Macaca mulatta: one gene and its partner. The protein of the gene in region 1 interacts with the protein of each later gene in a pairwise test. Links are inferred from orthologs where the notes say so. Each region holds a gene or a part of one and is shown on either strand. Other genes may lie near its edges.

What was found.
Region 2: the proteins of TRIM63 (region 1) and GMEB1 interact in a two-hybrid assay, tested with the Homo sapiens proteins (2 studies listed by BioGRID and IntAct). The link is inferred for Macaca mulatta from reciprocal best matches to the Homo sapiens genes TRIM63 and GMEB1.

What each region holds. Positions count from the first base shown.
Region 1 is NC_133406.1:214,946,938-214,955,243, reverse strand, and holds the start of TRIM63 (E3 ubiquitin-protein ligase TRIM63), read right to left. Parts: upstream 5,239-8,306; 5' UTR 5,101-5,238; coding exon 4,942-5,100; intron 4,059-4,941; coding exon 3,886-4,058; intron 2,087-3,885; exon of another isoform or gene 1,538-2,086; intron 1,403-1,537; exon of another isoform or gene 415-1,402; intron 1-414. UniProt on the Homo sapiens protein: E3 ubiquitin ligase. Mediates the ubiquitination and subsequent proteasomal degradation of CKM, GMEB1 and HIBADH.
Region 2 is NC_133406.1:212,203,534-212,211,200, reverse strand, and holds part of GMEB1 (glucocorticoid modulatory element-binding protein 1), read left to right. Parts: intron 1-937; exon of another isoform or gene 938-1,067; intron 1,068-1,346; coding exon 1,347-1,459; intron 1,460-2,826; coding exon 2,827-2,951; intron 2,952-4,432; coding exon 4,433-4,536; intron 4,537-6,130; exon of another isoform or gene 6,131-6,340; intron 6,341-7,667. UniProt on the Homo sapiens protein: Trans-acting factor that binds to glucocorticoid modulatory elements (GME) present in the TAT (tyrosine aminotransferase) promoter and increases sensitivity to low concentrations of glucocorticoids. Also binds to the transferrin receptor promoter.

The sequences.
Region 1 (8,306 bases):
TACCTTTCTTTCTTGAGACCTTCCAACCTGTTATTTGTGCTTCTCTTGGGACATCAGTCATTTCCTAACCTAGATTCATTGGGGTTTGGGGGGGATTTTTTTGTTGTTGTTTTCTTTTGATTTTTTGCCCAGGCTGGAGTGCAGTGGTATGATCTCAGCTCACTGAAACCTCCGCCTCCCGGATTCAAGCAATTCTCACACCTCAGCCTTCTGAATAGCTGAGATTACAGACGTGCACCACCATGCCCAGCTAATTTTTGTATTTTTAGTAAAGATGGGGTTTTACCATGTTGGCCAGGCTAGTCTCGAACTCCTGGCCTCACATGATCCTTCCACCTTAGCCTCCCAAAGTGCTGGGATTACAGGCATGATCCCCTGCACCCAGTTTTTTTTTTTTTCTCCTTTTCTTTTCTTTTCTTTTCTTTTTTTTTTGGAGACAGTGTCTCACCGTATTGTCCAGGCTGGAGTGCAGCAGCAATTCACAGACACACTGCAGCCTTGAACTCCTGGGCTGAGCAATCCTCCTGCCTCAGCCTCCCCAGTAGCTGCAACTGGTGCATACCACCATGCCTGGTGTAGATTCGATTTTTTTAGCTTCTGTCGCCATCTAGACTATATACTCATTGAGAGCCAACACTACCTTCGATTCCCAGCCCCGAACAGAACAGGCATCTTGCAAATGTCAAATGGTGACTGTCCCCATCAGTGTCAATGCCTCACCTCCAAACAGCCTTACATGACTGATCGCACACTGGGCTCTACTGTCCTCTTAAGTTCTTAAATAAACCCCTTTCCAGGCTTGTCTTTTTGCATCTTTTACCCCAGGGTCCTTATGCTGGCAGGGGTCTGCCATTGCCACCTGCCTCCATCCCCTTATAAAGGGATGGCAGGGAATGCAGAGGTGAGGCAAGAGCCTGAGGGTCTGGTTCCTCCCAGATGCCCACCCTCTCGAGTTTCGACTTTGGCGTCGGGGTTCATATCCAGATTGTTCTTCCACATTCATTTTTGTGATTCTGGACAAGTGATTTCACTCTCTTGCCTGGGATTCCTCCCAGAGCTATTGCAATCATGGTAGAAATTGTCTGTAATGAATGTGGAGTGCCCGGCACAGAGCAGACTCTCAATAGAGGGCAGCTGTCGTTGCCATTCAACTATGCGGAAAGGCCTCAAAGGTTCACACACAACGCGCTCTTCATAGGTTGGCACTGGGTGGGCTAACATTGGTGTGGAATTGATTTTATTATTCCTTATGATCAACAATATGTTTGCATTTTGTAGTGTTGCGCTCTAGCAACATGAGAAGCAATCTAGCACAGTAATTAAGAATATTCACTGGCCAGCCGGGCATGGTGGCCCACGCCTGTAATGCCAGCACTTTGGGAGGCCAAGGCGGGTGGATCACCTGAGGTCAGAAGTTCAGGACCAGCCTGGCCAACGTGGTGAAATCCTGTCTCTACAAAAAATACAAAAATTAGCTGGGTATGGTGGTACATGTCTGTAATCCCAGTATTTTGGGAGGCCAAGGCGGGCAGATCACCTGAGGTCAGGAGTTTGAGACCAGCCTGGCCAACGTGGTGAAACCCTGTCTCTACTAAAAAACAAAACTTAGCTGGGCACGTTGTCACATGCCTGTAGTCCCTGCTACACAGGAAGCTGAGGCAGGGGAATCGCTTGACCCCAGGAGGCAGAGATTGCAGTGAGCCAAGATCGCACCACTGCTCTCTAGCCTAGGCGACAGAGCAAGACTCTGCCTCAAAAAAAAAAAAAAGAAAATTCCCACACCCTCTCTTTCTTAGCTCTACCACTTGCTAGCTGTGTGGTCTTGGAAAAATCCCTTGTCCTCTCTGAGCTTCAATTTCCTCATGGTAAAATGGAGACGGGAATGCCTTCCTGGGTTACTATAAGAAATAGATAGGGAGGCCGGGCGCGGTGGCTCACGCCTGTAATCCCAGCACTTTGGGAGGCCGAGGCGGGCGGATCACAAGGTCAGGAGATTGAGACCACGGTGAAACCCCGTCTCTACTAAAAATACAAAAAATTAGCCGGGCGCGGTGGCGGGCGCCTGTAGTCCCAGCTACTCAGGAGGCTGAGGCAGGAGAATGGCGTGAACCCGGGAGGCGGAGCTTGCAGTGAGCCGAGATCGCGCCACTGCACTCCAACCTGGGCGACAGAGCGAGACTCCGTCTCAAAAAAAAAAAAAAAAAAAGAAATAGATAGGGAAAATGCCTGAAAGTACTTCATACAGCGCCTGCACACAGTAGGTACCCAATAAATAGTTGATACATTAATCATTTTCCATTAATATCTTATTTGACAGCCACAATAACAGATCTTACTGTTTCTGTTTGCAGACAGAGGAAATGAAACTCTAAAGGCTTACCCAAGATGGTACAGTACATCAGTCACAGAGGCTGACTAGCAAGCACAGTTCCCCAGGCCAGGGTTTTTTTACCTGAGATCTGGTCTGTCACCTTCCCTTGGACTGGGCAGTGCTTGCAGGCAGATGCTTGGTGAAGGTTTTAGACCTTAAAGGCTGTGAGTCAGCACTCCTGGAGTCTTACCAGGATGTCCTGGTTTGTAAAAATCTTTCCTGTAGCTGTGTCTCTCCCAAATTTTTGTGGTGTGTGTGTGTGTGTGTGTGTGTGTGTGTGTGTGTTTAAATGGAGTCTCACTCTGTCACCCAGGCTGGAGTGTAGTGGCACGATCTCTGCTCACTGCAACCTCTGTCTCCCTGGTTCAAGCAATTCTCCTGCCTCAGCCTCCTAAGTAGCTGGGATGACAGGCATGCGCCACCACGACCGGCTAATTTTTGTATTTTTAGTAGAGATGGGATTTCACCATGTTGGCCAGGCTGGTCTCCAACTCCTGACCTCAAGTGATCCACCCACCTTGGCCTCCCAAAGTGCTGGGGCTACAGGCATGAGCCACTGCGCCTGGCCTCCCAGTTTTTTTGTCTGTTTGTTTGAGGCATAGTCTCACTCTGTCACCCAGGCTGGAGTGCAGTAGCACGATCATGGCTGTGCAACCTTGACCTCCCTGGCTCAACAATTCTCCTGAAGAGCTGGGACTGCAGGCATGCCCCACCACGCCCAGCTAGTTTTTAACCTTTGTAGAAACAGGGTCTCTCTATGTTGCCCTGACTGGTCTTGAACTCCTGGCCTCAAACAATCATCCCACCTTGGCCTCCCAGAGTGTTGGGATTACGAGCGTGAGCCACCACACCTGGCCCTCTCTCCCCAGTTTAAGGCTAACCCTGCACAACCTCCACCAGTTACACATTCTGCCTCTGAATGAGCTGCTATTTTATTAGCAGGGAGACTCAGAGCTAGATCAACTGGGCCAGCTCCCAGCTCTTTCACTTTCCAGCTGGAAAACCTTAGCTAATTGACTTCACCTCTTGGGCAGTTTCCTCACCTGTGAAATGAGGATAATAAAGTCATGCCTGATTCATAGAGTTATCGGAAGGTACTAAGATGAAGCATTCCCCGTGCCTGACAGTTCCTCGTGGCACACAGGAAAGTAGCTGTTGCTATCCTTATAGACAACCTGGCTGTTTCTCACTGGGCATTTTCTCTGCTGACTGGAGCCACTTAGCTGGCCCCAGGGCCTTTCTCTCCCTCTCACATCTCATCTTTCCCCCAGTCTCTGTCTTGGTATCGCCTGGAAGGGCAGCCTAATGTCTGGACCCCTTCCCATCTGCTGAGTGATCCTGAGCGCCGAGTTGGGGTGTATGGGTCTCCAATCCTGTCTCTGAACTGGCTCGTGTAGCTAGTCCAGCTAGAGGCCTGGATCCTGAGCAGATGAAGGAAGGGGAAGGAGCTTGGGGGAGCTGGGCACAGCATGGCTGAGAAGGAGGATGGGCCCCCAGCAGGCATGAGAACCGACCTGGAGCACTCCTGTTTGTAGATGTCAATGATGTTCTCCACCAGCAGGTTCCTCTGCAGGCCGTACACTCCGTGACGATCCATGATCACCTCGTGGCGGCAGGTGGGGCAGCGGAAACGGCCTCCAGACATGGATACCGAGCTGCCCCGGCCGGTCCAGTAGGGATTTGCAGCCTGCAGGTGGCAAAGGTCAAGGTGAGGCCTGGGCTCCCTCCTCAGCCCTTCCCCTTTCTAATCTCCTCTTATCCTTTCCTCTGCCTGCCCCAACCACCCCAGTCAAACCTAATGACCTGGAGCTCCGCAGGCTGTGATGAGAACCAGTCCTCACATACAGAGCACCTGAGATGCAGCTAAGCAATCGTCAGGATGGGGAGGCAGGAGACCTGGGTTCAAGTCATGTTAATTCTCTGAGTGATTTTGGGCAAGCAACCTTATCTCTCTAAGCCTCAGTTTGCCCACTTATGAAATGGGTATTACAATGAGAGCAAGCTCCTAAGGCTGCTACTTTAAAGATAATATCGTGAAAGAACATTTTGTAAAGTGTCCCTGGGGAACCTCGCATCCTGCCTCCCAGCCAGGACACCTACCCCCTTCCTTTCTTGGGGATTTGGAGCCGCTTCTGTCCCCATATTGTAGGGAACAGCCTCGAAAGGGAAGACGCCTCTACTGCCCACTGCCTCCCTGACACCCTCCTCCCAAAGCTCTGGGCCTCTTGCCACCAGGACCTGGCTCCAGCCCCAGGGGTCTGGTTTCTCTCTCCTGTCCCTGCCTTCCCCGCTTATCACTTGAGGCATTTGACTCTTGATTGGAGAGTCAACAGCAGTGCTCAGGGCAGGGGTGGGGGAGCTGTGGGCAGGGTGGGGAGGGGAAACGCGTCATGGAGAAGAACTGCAACAGCTAGAGCTGCCTCCCATCCCCTCTCAGCCCTGTCTAGAGGCCTCTGCAGGGGTTCACTTCCAAGGGAAAAGAGTTAGAAGGCTAAGGGAGAAGAAGGGCTTCATTCGGAAAGCCGAGTAGCCACCTGGGACCCCCGGATGAGGCTGCACCCGGCACTGACCTGGAAGATGTCATTGGCACACTTCCGGCACAGGTTGTGCTGGCACGGCAAGATGACCACTGGCTTGGTAAACATCTCCAGGCAAATAGGGCAGATCAGCTGCTTCTCCAGGTTCTCCATGGGGTTCCCATCCTGGATCAGGCTCGACTTATAATCCATTCTGTGGGCAGGAGTGAGAGCCGCGCCTAGCTGCCTCCTCTACTGACTTTGCTCTAAGTAGACCTGGGGAGTCTTGCCTTTGTCACGAAACACCAGGTCGGATCCTGTTGGCTTCCTTCTCCTGGTGCCCGAATTCTGTCTTGGTCTGAGGCCCCTCTGATATTTATAGCTAGATCTTGGTCACATGAGCTCCAGGAGGGGACCAGCTGAGCATTCCGATGCCAAGCGGCTGGTGGGGCTTGAGTTTCCTCCAGGCCTGAAAGACTGGCCCTCTCGAATCACATGCAGGGATGAGCAATCGCTGTTCTTCTGGGACGGGGGTCATAAACAAGAACAGCCTGTTCAGAGGCAGGCTTAGGGGAAGACTGGGTACCCAGAGCTTCCTCCAGAAATTGGTCTCCCCCCGGCACCAGGCTAGCGGGTCAGGGATAGGACCCAGCAAGTGAGCCACTGGGATTCAAAGGGTTAATAGCCAATGCTATGATGAAAATGTCGAACATTTTTCTGAGTACTGGTGTACATCAGGTAACTAATATACATCACAATGTGACAGATGGATGAGTGATTTGTTTCCCTGCCCTGAGAAACTCACAGCCCAGGAAGGGAGATAGAAAGGATCGTGCAGTGGTGCGATCTCTGCTCACTACAACCTCTGCCTCCCAGGTTGAAGCCTCCCGACCCCAACCCCCTCCCAGCCCCGCTCAACCCCTCACTGACCTAAATCAATTCCATCCCCTCTTCTGGAGTCCTGAGCAGCTCCTAGATGGAAGGGTCAGGCAGCCCTCTCTCTGAGCTCATCCCTCTGCCTCAGACCTCAGCACAGCATTTTGCTGGAGACAGTGGAGACCCCCACCCCAGCCAGCCCATCCTCCATCCCTTGGCCACTTATTTCACTCAGTGCTGAAAGGCCTCCCTTGAAACGCAGTCCAGTCCCCTCATCTTATAGATTTTGAAATGGGACTAGAGAAGAAAAGGATTATATTCAAAGTCAGTTAGAAAGTAAGTGACAGCCGGGTGTGGCGTCTCACACCTGTAATCCCAGCACTTTGGGAGGCTGAGGCAGGTGGATCACGAGGTCAGCAGTTCAAGACTAGCCTGGCCAACATGGTGAAACCCCATCTCTACTAAAAATACAAAACTTAGCTGGGTGTGGTGGTGCGAGCCTGTAATTTCAGCTACTCGGGAGGCTGAAGCAGGAGAATCACTTGAACCCGAGAGGCAGAGATTGCAGTGAGCTGAGATGGCGCCACTGCACTCCAGCCTGGGCGACAAGAGAGAAACTCTATCTCAAAACAAAACAAAACAAAAAAAAAAAAAAAAAAGAAGAAGAAAGTAAGTGGCAAAGCCAGACATTTTATTCATTCATCAGACATGTTTCTGAGTACTAGTATACATCAGGCAACTAGTATACATCACAACATGACAAATGGATGAGTGATCTGTTTCCCTGCCGCAAGAAACTCACAGCCGAGGAAGGCAGATAGAAAGGAAAAACCTGCCGGGTGCGGTGGCTCACGCCTATAATCCCAGCACTTTGGGAGGCTGAAGTGGGCAGTCGGATTGCCTGAGGTCAGGAGTTTGAGACCAGCCTGGCCAACATGGCGAAACCCTGTCTCTACTAAAAATACAAAAATTAGCTGGGTGTGATGGCACACACCTGTCATCCCAGCTACTCGGGAGGCTGAGGCAGGAGAATTGTTTGAACCCAGGAAGTGGAGGTTACAGTGAGCGGAGATCGTGCCACTGCACTCCAGCCTGGTGACAGAGTGAGACTCTGTCTCAAAAAAAAGAAAAGAAAGGAAAACCCCTCATGCGGTGCCACAAAGCCCTGCCTGGACACTTAGAAGGCTTCCCTCAGCTCTCTGCACACATTTTAACTTTTCTCCGTATTTCTTAGGACATCTTCCACATTGGCAGGTAGAAGTCATTAGAGCAGTTCCAGTGGCTGTTTTGTTTTGTTTTGTTTTGTTTTTTCGAGACGGAGTTTCACTCTGTTGCCCATGCTGGAGTGCAGTCGTGCCATCTCAGCTCACTGCAACCTCCGCTTCCCAGGTTGAAGCGAGTCTCCTGACTCAGCCTCCTAAGTAGCTGGGACTACAGGCGTATGTCACCACACCCGACTAATTTTTGTATTTTTAATAGAGATGGGTTTTTACCATGTTAGCCAGGCCGGTCTCCAACTCCTGACCTCAGGCAATCTGACTGCCTCGACCTCCCAAAGTGCTGGGATTACAGGTGTGAGCCACTGTGCCTGGCCTCCAGTAGCTGTTTTTAAGGTAGCATCTAATGAAAGGACCCTGGGGTCATCCGGTCCAAGGTGATGAGGCAGAGATATGGAGCAATGGTATCAGGTCCCAAAATAAGTCTAAGAGGCCATGGAATACTCAGGAGAGGTATGAAGGATTTCAAGAAAGAGGAATGACGGGAAAAATGAGACAAGACATAGAGCGGAGAAGCAAACCTTGGAAGAGAGGAAATGGGAGAAGAAGAAGAGGAACAAGTTACAGAAAAAGGAAGAGGCCTTAAAAACAAAGGGCTGGCCGGGCACGGTGGCTCAAGCCTGTAATCCCAGCACTTTGGGAGGCCGAGACAGGCGGATCACGAGGTCAGGAGATCGAGACTATCCTGGCTAACACTGTGAAACCCCGTCTCTACTAAAAAAATACAAAAAACTAGCCAGGCGAGGTGGCGGGCGCCTGTAGTCCCAGCTACTTGGGAGGCTGAGGCAGGAGAATGGCGTGAACCTGGGAGGCGGAGCTTGCAGTGAGCTGAGATCCGGCCAGTGCACTCCAAGCCTGGGCGACAGAGCGAGACTCCGTCTCAAAAAAAAAAAAACAAAAAACAAAGGGCTGGAGGATTTTGAGGAGAGAGTTGCCCCCCAAAATTTTGCTGAGCACTTAGGTTTTGCTGAGCACTTACTATGTGCTATGCATTGTGCTAAATGCTTTGTATGCTTTATTTCATTTCACCATCTCAACAGCCAATAACAAAAGACCCATAATATCCCCACTCCACAAGTGAGGAAACTCAGGCACACAGGTAAAATACTTGTATGAGGTCACACAGAGAGCACGAGGTGGCTCTAGGACATGAACCCAGATATGCTTGACTTAGGAACCCAAGCTCCTAATGTAGACTCTACTGAACTGTGTTTGGGTCAAGTCAACACTGTCAGGTCAGCCAAGGTTTGGAAGAGGATGAGGACT
Region 2 (7,667 bases), about 2.7 Mb from region 1:
CGGCAAAATACACTGTTTCCAACAAGGGACGTCAACTTTTCAGTCAGCCTGGTTCTTCCTGTCTCAAACTATCTGCTGGTACTACTTTTTAGTCTTCTCAGGGTAATTCCATAATATGAATTAGTCGTGTACTTGTAGCCATACTATGCCATGGGCATTTAAAGTGTTTTTTTTTTTTTTTTTTTTTTTTGGAGATGGAGTGTTGTTCCATTGCCCAGGCTGGAGTGCAGTGGTGCAATTTCAGCTCACTGCAACCTCCGCCTCCCTGATTCAAGTGATTCTCCTGTCTCAGGCTCCTGAGTAGCTAGGATTACAGGTGCACCACCATGCCTGACTAATTTTTGTATTTTTAGTAGAGATGGGGTTTCACCATGTTGGTCAGGCTGGTCTCAAACTCCTGACCTCGTGATCTGCCCACCTTGTCCTCCCAAAGTGCTGGGATTACAGGCGTGAGCCACCACACACAGCCTAATTTTTTTGTATTTTTAGTAGAGATGGGGGTTTCACCACGTTGGCCAGGCTGGTCTCGAACTCCTGACCTCAGGTGATCTGTCTGCCTCGACCTCCCAAAGTGCTGGGGTTACAGGCATGAGCCACCATGCCCGGCCCATTTAAAGTTACGAAGGGAGCCAGGCGCGGTGACTCATGCCTGTAATCCCAGCACTTTGGAAGGCCGAGGCGGGTGTATCACAAGGTCAGGAGATCGAGACCATCCTGCTAACACAGTGAAACCCTGTCTCTACTAAAAATACAAAAAAAATTAGCTGGGCATGGTGGTGGGCGCCTGTAGTCCCAGCTTCTCAGGAGGCTGAGGCAGGAGAATGGTGCAAACCTGGGATGCAGAGCTTACAGTGAGCCGAGATTGCACCTCTGCACTCCAGCCTGGGAGAGAGAGTGAGACTCTGTCTCAAAAACAAAAAAAAAGTTATGAAAGGAGTGGACATTTATTTTTATTCAGTTTCTTCTCAAGGTGAAGGTAACTGTTTGTAAATGTCCTAGAGAAATATGGTAGCTTTCTGTTCACCCTTTGCAAGTAAAAAGCGTGGATTATTCCACCGCTGACATTTAAAAAATAAAGTTATGAAGGGAAGTCTGGTGTAATACAGTAGTAGCAAGTGGTGGTGTAAATAAATAAGTAGCAAGAATTACTTTCCTTTGAGGTGAGGAGAGTTGTCGATTCATTTCCATGGTAGAAGCTGCTAAGCAGTCCTGGGAAGTTTGGAGTTTAAATATAATGGGAAACTAGTCAGAGTTTAAAGTATATTTATTTTATTTATTTTGAGATAGATTGAAACAAATTTCTTAACCCCATGCTGTGAATATTAATTTTTTCATGATTTATGTAGTTTGTTTATCGATGGACACTTTTACAACAGGATTTATGAAGCTGGGTCGGAGAACAACACGGCAGTTGTAGCAGTAGAAACTCACACGATACACAAAATTGAAGAAGGGATTGGTAAGGTTTTTTTTTGTTTTTTTTGTTTTTGTCATTCTAATGCCTTTGACTTTAGCTTCCTTGGTTGAGTTTTCTTGCCATCTGTGCCTTATGTTTTTCTCCCATCCCTGTGTGCCCTACCAGTACTACAGCCCTCGATTTTGATGGTGGTACATCTTGAGACACCACTGACTTAAGATGCTAGGGTCATCAGTTGGTTGGTTAACGTCAGTTTGGAAGGGTAACTGAAAAGACTTTTTATCTATAAAAATCCCACATAGAAATTGGAGCCTCAAAGTTGATACCTGTCATTAAAGAAGTTGTTGATGACTGATAAGGTATTGTTTAGAAGGCAGTCAGTGGAAAGAAACTGGAAAGAAACTTTGAAATTTAACAAATCTGAGTTGAAATCCCAATTTCTCACCTCTAAGTGTGTCCTTGGGAAAGTCAGTTAACCTGAGGCCCATATACTTATATTTAACACCTAGGAAACAATTAATTAATTAATTAATTTTAAAAAAAACCTAATCGAGCACAGTGGCTCATGCCCGTAATCCCAACACTTTAGGAGGCCAAGGCGGGGGATCACCTGAGGTCAGGAGTTTGAGACCAGCCTGGCCAACATGGCGAAACCCCATCTCTACTAAAAGTATAAAAATTAGCCTGGCGTGGTAGTGGGCGCCTATAATCCCAGTTACTCAGGAGACTGAGGCAGGAGAATTGCTTGAATCCGGGAGGCATAGGTTGCAGTGAGCTGAGATTGTGCCACTGCACTCCAGCCTGGGCAACAAGAGTGAGACTTCATCTCCAAAACAACAACAACCACCAAAAAAACACCACCTACACCGGGCGAGGTGACTCACGCCTGTAATCCCAGCACTTTGGGAGGCCAAGGCGAGTGGATCACTTGAGGTTAGGGGTTCAAGACCAGCCTGGCCAAGATGGTGAAACCCCATCTCTACTAAAAATATAAAAATTAGCCAGCGTGGTGGTGTGTGGTATATGGCTGTAATCCCAGCTACTTGGAAGGCTGAGGCAGGAGAATTGCTTGAACCCGGAGGCATAGGTTGCAGTGAGCCAAGATCATGCCACTGCACTCCAGCCTGGGTGATAGCGTGAGACTCCATCTCAAAAAAGGCAAAAAGAAAAAAAAAAACACCTAGGAAATAATCACTGCCTCACAGGATTGTTGTAAGAACGGTGTCTGGCACACTGTGGGAGCTTGGGAAGAGAGAGCTGTTAGGCCAGACTTCTTCCAGAGGATCCCTAAACGATACCAGCAAGAGTGAAGTGTTAGTCCCTCAGAGGAACCAGGAGACTAGAGATTTTGAGTTTCAGCTTTGGGGAAGAGTTGTTTGATAAATAACGGATTTTTTTTCTGTTTTCAGATACAGGCACTATAGAAGCAAATGAGGATATGGAAATTGCTTACCCTATAACTTGTGGGGAGAGCAAAGCCATCCTCCTCTGGAAGAAGTTTGTGTGTCCGGGAATAAATGTGAAGTGTGTCAAGGTAATTGTCTTCTCCATGCTGAAGCCAATTTTGGGACTCCTTGTTTTCAAAGGGTGTCAGTTCCATGCATCCTTTTTCTCTTGCACTAGATCAGGTTTTTTTTTTGATGGCTATTGTTCTAATGTGTCACAATAGAAAAAATAAGAACTTTGGGTTGGATGTGGTGGCTCATACCTGTAATCCTAACACTTTGGGAGACCAAGGTGGAAAGATCACTTGAGCTTAGGAGTTCGAGACCAGCCTGGGCAACATGGTGAGACATTGCGTGACTTTCTCTGTTGCCCAGGCTAGAGTGCAATGACACGATCTTGGCTCACTGCAGCCTCCACCTCCTGGGTTCAGGTGATTCTCCCACCTCAGCCTCCTGTGTAGCTGGGACCACAGGTGTGCACCACTGTGCCTGGCTAATTTTTGTAGAGATGGAAGGTTTTGCTATGTTGCCTGGGCTGGAAAACCTTGCATCTTCAAAAAATATATTGGCGGCCAGGCGCGGTGGCTCACGCCTGTAATCTCAGCACTTTGGGAGGCCGAGGCGGGCGGATCACGAGGTCAGGAGATCGAGACCATCCTGGCTAACACGGTGAAACCCCGTCTCTACTAAAAATACAAAAAATTAGCTGGGCGTGGTGGCAGGTGCCTGTAGTCCCAGCTACTCGGGAGGCTGAGGCAGGAGAATGGCGTGAACTCAGGAGGCGGAGCTTGCAATGAGCTGAGATCGCACCGCTGCACTCCAGCCTGGGCGACAGAGCGATACTCTGTCTCAAAAAAATATATATATATACTGGCTAGGTGAGGTGGCTTATGCCTGTAATCCCAGCACTTTGGGAGGCTGAGGTGGGTGGATCACCTGAGATCAGGGGATAGAGACCAGCCTGGACAACATGGTGAAGTCCCATCTCTACTAAAAATACAAAAATTAGCCAGGCATAGTGTTGGGTGCATATAATCCCAGCTACTGCGGAGACTGAGGCAGGAGGATCACTTGAACCTCGGGGCAGAGTTGCAGTGAGCTGAGATTGCGCTGTTGTACTCCAGTCTGGGTGACAGAGTGATGCTCTGTCTCAAAAAAAAAAAAAAAAATTATTAGATTGACTAGCCAAAAACAAAATTGATAAAAATAGAATTGCTTATGCTGTCTTCATTAGGGCTGGATAGATTATTTCAGTTTATTTGAACAGCCTTTGTTTGCCACACGAGACCCAACCACCTGATTCCAGGCATAAATGGATTTTAGAGATTTATTAATATATTTATCTCTTATCTCTGCATGTATTCTGTGGCTTTGTACCAGGAATGGAGACTGTGCTCTGAGAAGCATCGTCTTCTCTAACACAATAGTGCAGGAGTTTGGATAGTCAAGGCTTAGGATGTCATCTGGGTATTTTTTATGCAAATGATGTAGAGTTACCATTTCATTATTTCCCCTCTTGGCCTGCCTAAGTTGACATTAGACTATTTTGGACTTTTCTTTTTACTTTTAGTTCAATGATCAGTTGATCAGCCCCAAGCACTTTGTTCATCTGGCTGGCAAGTCCACTCTGAAGGACTGGAAGAGAGCTATTCGTCTGGGTGGGATCATGCTCAGGTAAGCTCTAATGTTAAGCACATACCTTTCAACAAACTTTGGGGCACGTAATCATGCTAGAATCTGGGTTTTTCTCTTTAGGTTGACATTTTTATTCTTTCTGAGAAATTGGCTTGAGCAATCCATGCATTATTTGACTTTAATCAACTTATTCTTTTTTTTTTTTTTTTTTTTTTTTTTTTTTTTTTTTTTTTTTTTTGAGACGGAGTCTCGCTCTGCCGCCCAGGCTGGAGTGCAGTGGCCGGATCTCAGCTCACTGCAAGCTCCGCCTCCCGGGTTCCCGCCATTCTCCTGCCTCAGCCTCCCCAGTAGCTGGGACTACAGGCGCCCGCCACCTCGCCCGGCTAGTTTTTTTGTATTTTTTAGTAGAGACGGGGTTTCACCATGTTAGCCAGGATGGTCTCGATCTCCCGACCTCGTGATCCGCCCGTCTCGGCCTCCCAAAGTGCTGGGATTACAGGCTTGAGCCACCGCGCCCGGCCTTTTTTTTTTTTTTTTTTTTGAGACGGAGTCTCGCTGTGTCTCCCAGGCTGGAGTGCAGTGGCGTGATCTCGGCTCACTGCAAGCTCCGCCTCCCGGGTTCACGCCATTCTCCTGCCTCAGCCTCCCGAGTAGCCGGGACTACAGGCGCCCGCCACCACGCCTGGCTAGTTTTTTTTATTTTTAGTAGAGACGGGGTTTCACCATGTTAGCCAGGATAGTCTCGATGTCCTGACCTCGTGATCCACCCGCCTCGGCCTCCCAAAGTGCTGGGATTACAGGCTTGAGCCACCGCGCCCGGCCAATCAACTTATTCTTAAAAATCCTGGGAGACAAGAAAGATTTTTTGTTTGTTTGTTTTTGAGACAGAGTCTTGCTCTGTCACCCAGGCTGGAGTGCAGTGGCGTGACCTTGGCTCACTGCAACCTCCGCCTCCTGGGTTCAAGCAATTGTAGTTTTTAGTAGAGACAGGATTTCACCATCTTGGCCAGGCTGGTCTTGAACTCCTGACCTCATAATCCACCCACCTCAGCCCCCCAAAGTGCTGGGATTACAGGCATGAGCCACTGTGCCCGGCCATTTAATTCTTTTTTTTTTTTTTTTTTTTTTTTTTTGAGACAGAGTCTCGCTCTGTCGCCCAGGCTGGAGTGCAGTGGCTGGATTCAGCTCACTGCAAGCTCCGTCTCCCGGGTTTACGCCATTCTCCTGCCTCAGCCTCCCGAGTAGCTGGGACTACAGGCGCCGCCACCACGCCCGGCTAGTTTTTTGTATTTTTTTTAGTAGAGACAGGGTTTCACCGTGTTCGCCAGGATGGTCTCGATCTCCTGACCTCGTGATCCGCCCGTCTTGGCCTCCCAAAGTGCTGGGATTACAGGTTTGAGCCACCGCACCTGGCCCATTTAATTCTTTTTAATGGGGGGAAAAAATAAAATTTTAAAAAATAAATAAAAAATTAAAAAATAAAAATAATTATTTTTAAGGAATCTCTTTCAAGAAAAATCCATAATGGGCCGGGCGCGGTGGCTCAAGCCTGTAATCCCAGCACTTTGGGAGGCCGAGACGGGCGGATCACGAGGTCAGGAGATTGAGACCATCCTGGCTAACACGGTGAAACCCCGTCTCTACTAAAAAATACAAAAAAAACTAGCCGGGCGAGGTGGCGGGCGCCTGTAGTCCCAGCTACTCGGGAGGCTGAGGCAGGAGAATGGCGTGAACCCGGGAGGCGGAGCTTGCAGTGAGCTGAGATCCGGCCACTGCACTCCAGCCTGGGCGACAGAGCGAGACTCCGTGTCAAAAAAAAAAAAAAAAAAAAAAAAAAGAAAAATCCATAATGCTTATAGAGATTCAAGCATAAAGATGTTTATTACAACATTATTTATTAATGTGAAACTTACAGTCTGCTTTAATATATAGTCAAAGACTTCTAAAGTCAATTATGACCTGTCTAAATATATATGAGTATATACTGTGAATGTTTTGCCGTCATTAAAATATTTCTGAAGAGATTTTACATGAAAAATGCTTATGACATAATTTGAAGGAAGAAAAACAGAAAATTTATTAAATTGATTTTGGCTGTGTTAAGACATATATGTAAGTAAAATTTAGTAGAAGAAAATATGCTAAAATGTTGACGTTGTCTGTGTATTGTAGGATTTTTTTGGGTTTTTTTTGAGATGGAGTCTCGCTCTGTTGCCAGGCTGGAGTACAGTGGTGCAGTCTCGGCTCACTGCAGCCTCCACCTCCTGGGTTCAAGTGATTCTCCTGCCTCAGCCTCCCGAGTAGCTGGGACTACAGGCGTGTGCCACCATGCCCAGCTAATTTTTGTATTTTTTTTAGTAGAGACGGGGTTTCATCATGTTAGGCTGGTCTTGATCTCCTGACCTCGTGATCCACCCACCTTGGCCTCCCAAAGTGCTGAGATTACAGGCGTCAGCTACCTCGCCCGGCCTAAGATTTTAGTTGTTGTTGTTGTTTGTTTTTTTGGTGAGACGGAGACTTACTCTTGTTGCCCAGGCTGGAGTGCAATGGCGCGATCTCGGCTCACCACATCCTCCGCCTCCCAGGTTCAAGCGATTCTCCTGCCTCAGCCTCCCGAGTAGGTGGGATTACAGGCATGTGTCACCATGCCTGGCTAATTTTGTACTTTTAGTAGAGATGGGGTTTCACCATATTGTCCAGGCTGATCTCGAACTCCTGACCTCAGGTGATCCACCCACCTTGGCCTCCCAAAGTGCTGCGATTATAGGCGTGAGCTACTGCACCCAGCCCAAAGATTTTTTAAAAAGGGCAATTGAAAAAAAAAAAAAAGGTCATGTTCTGTCACTAAGGCTGGAGTGCATTGGCATGATCAGCCTCAAACTCCTCAGCTCTAGCAGTCCTACAGAGTAGCTTGGACTACAGATGTGAGCCACTGTGGCCAGCTGAAAATGCTAAATATTTTCTTCATATAGGTTTTTTTTTTTTTTTGGAGTCTCGCTCTGTCACCCAGGCTGGAGGTCCAGTAGCGTGATCGCGGCTCACTGCAAGCTCTGTCTCCTGGGTTCATGCCATTCTCCTGCCCCAGCCTCCCGAGTAGCTGGGACTACAGGTGCCCGCCACCACGCCTGGTTAATTTTTTGTATTTTTAAAAAGTAGAGACGGGGTTTCAC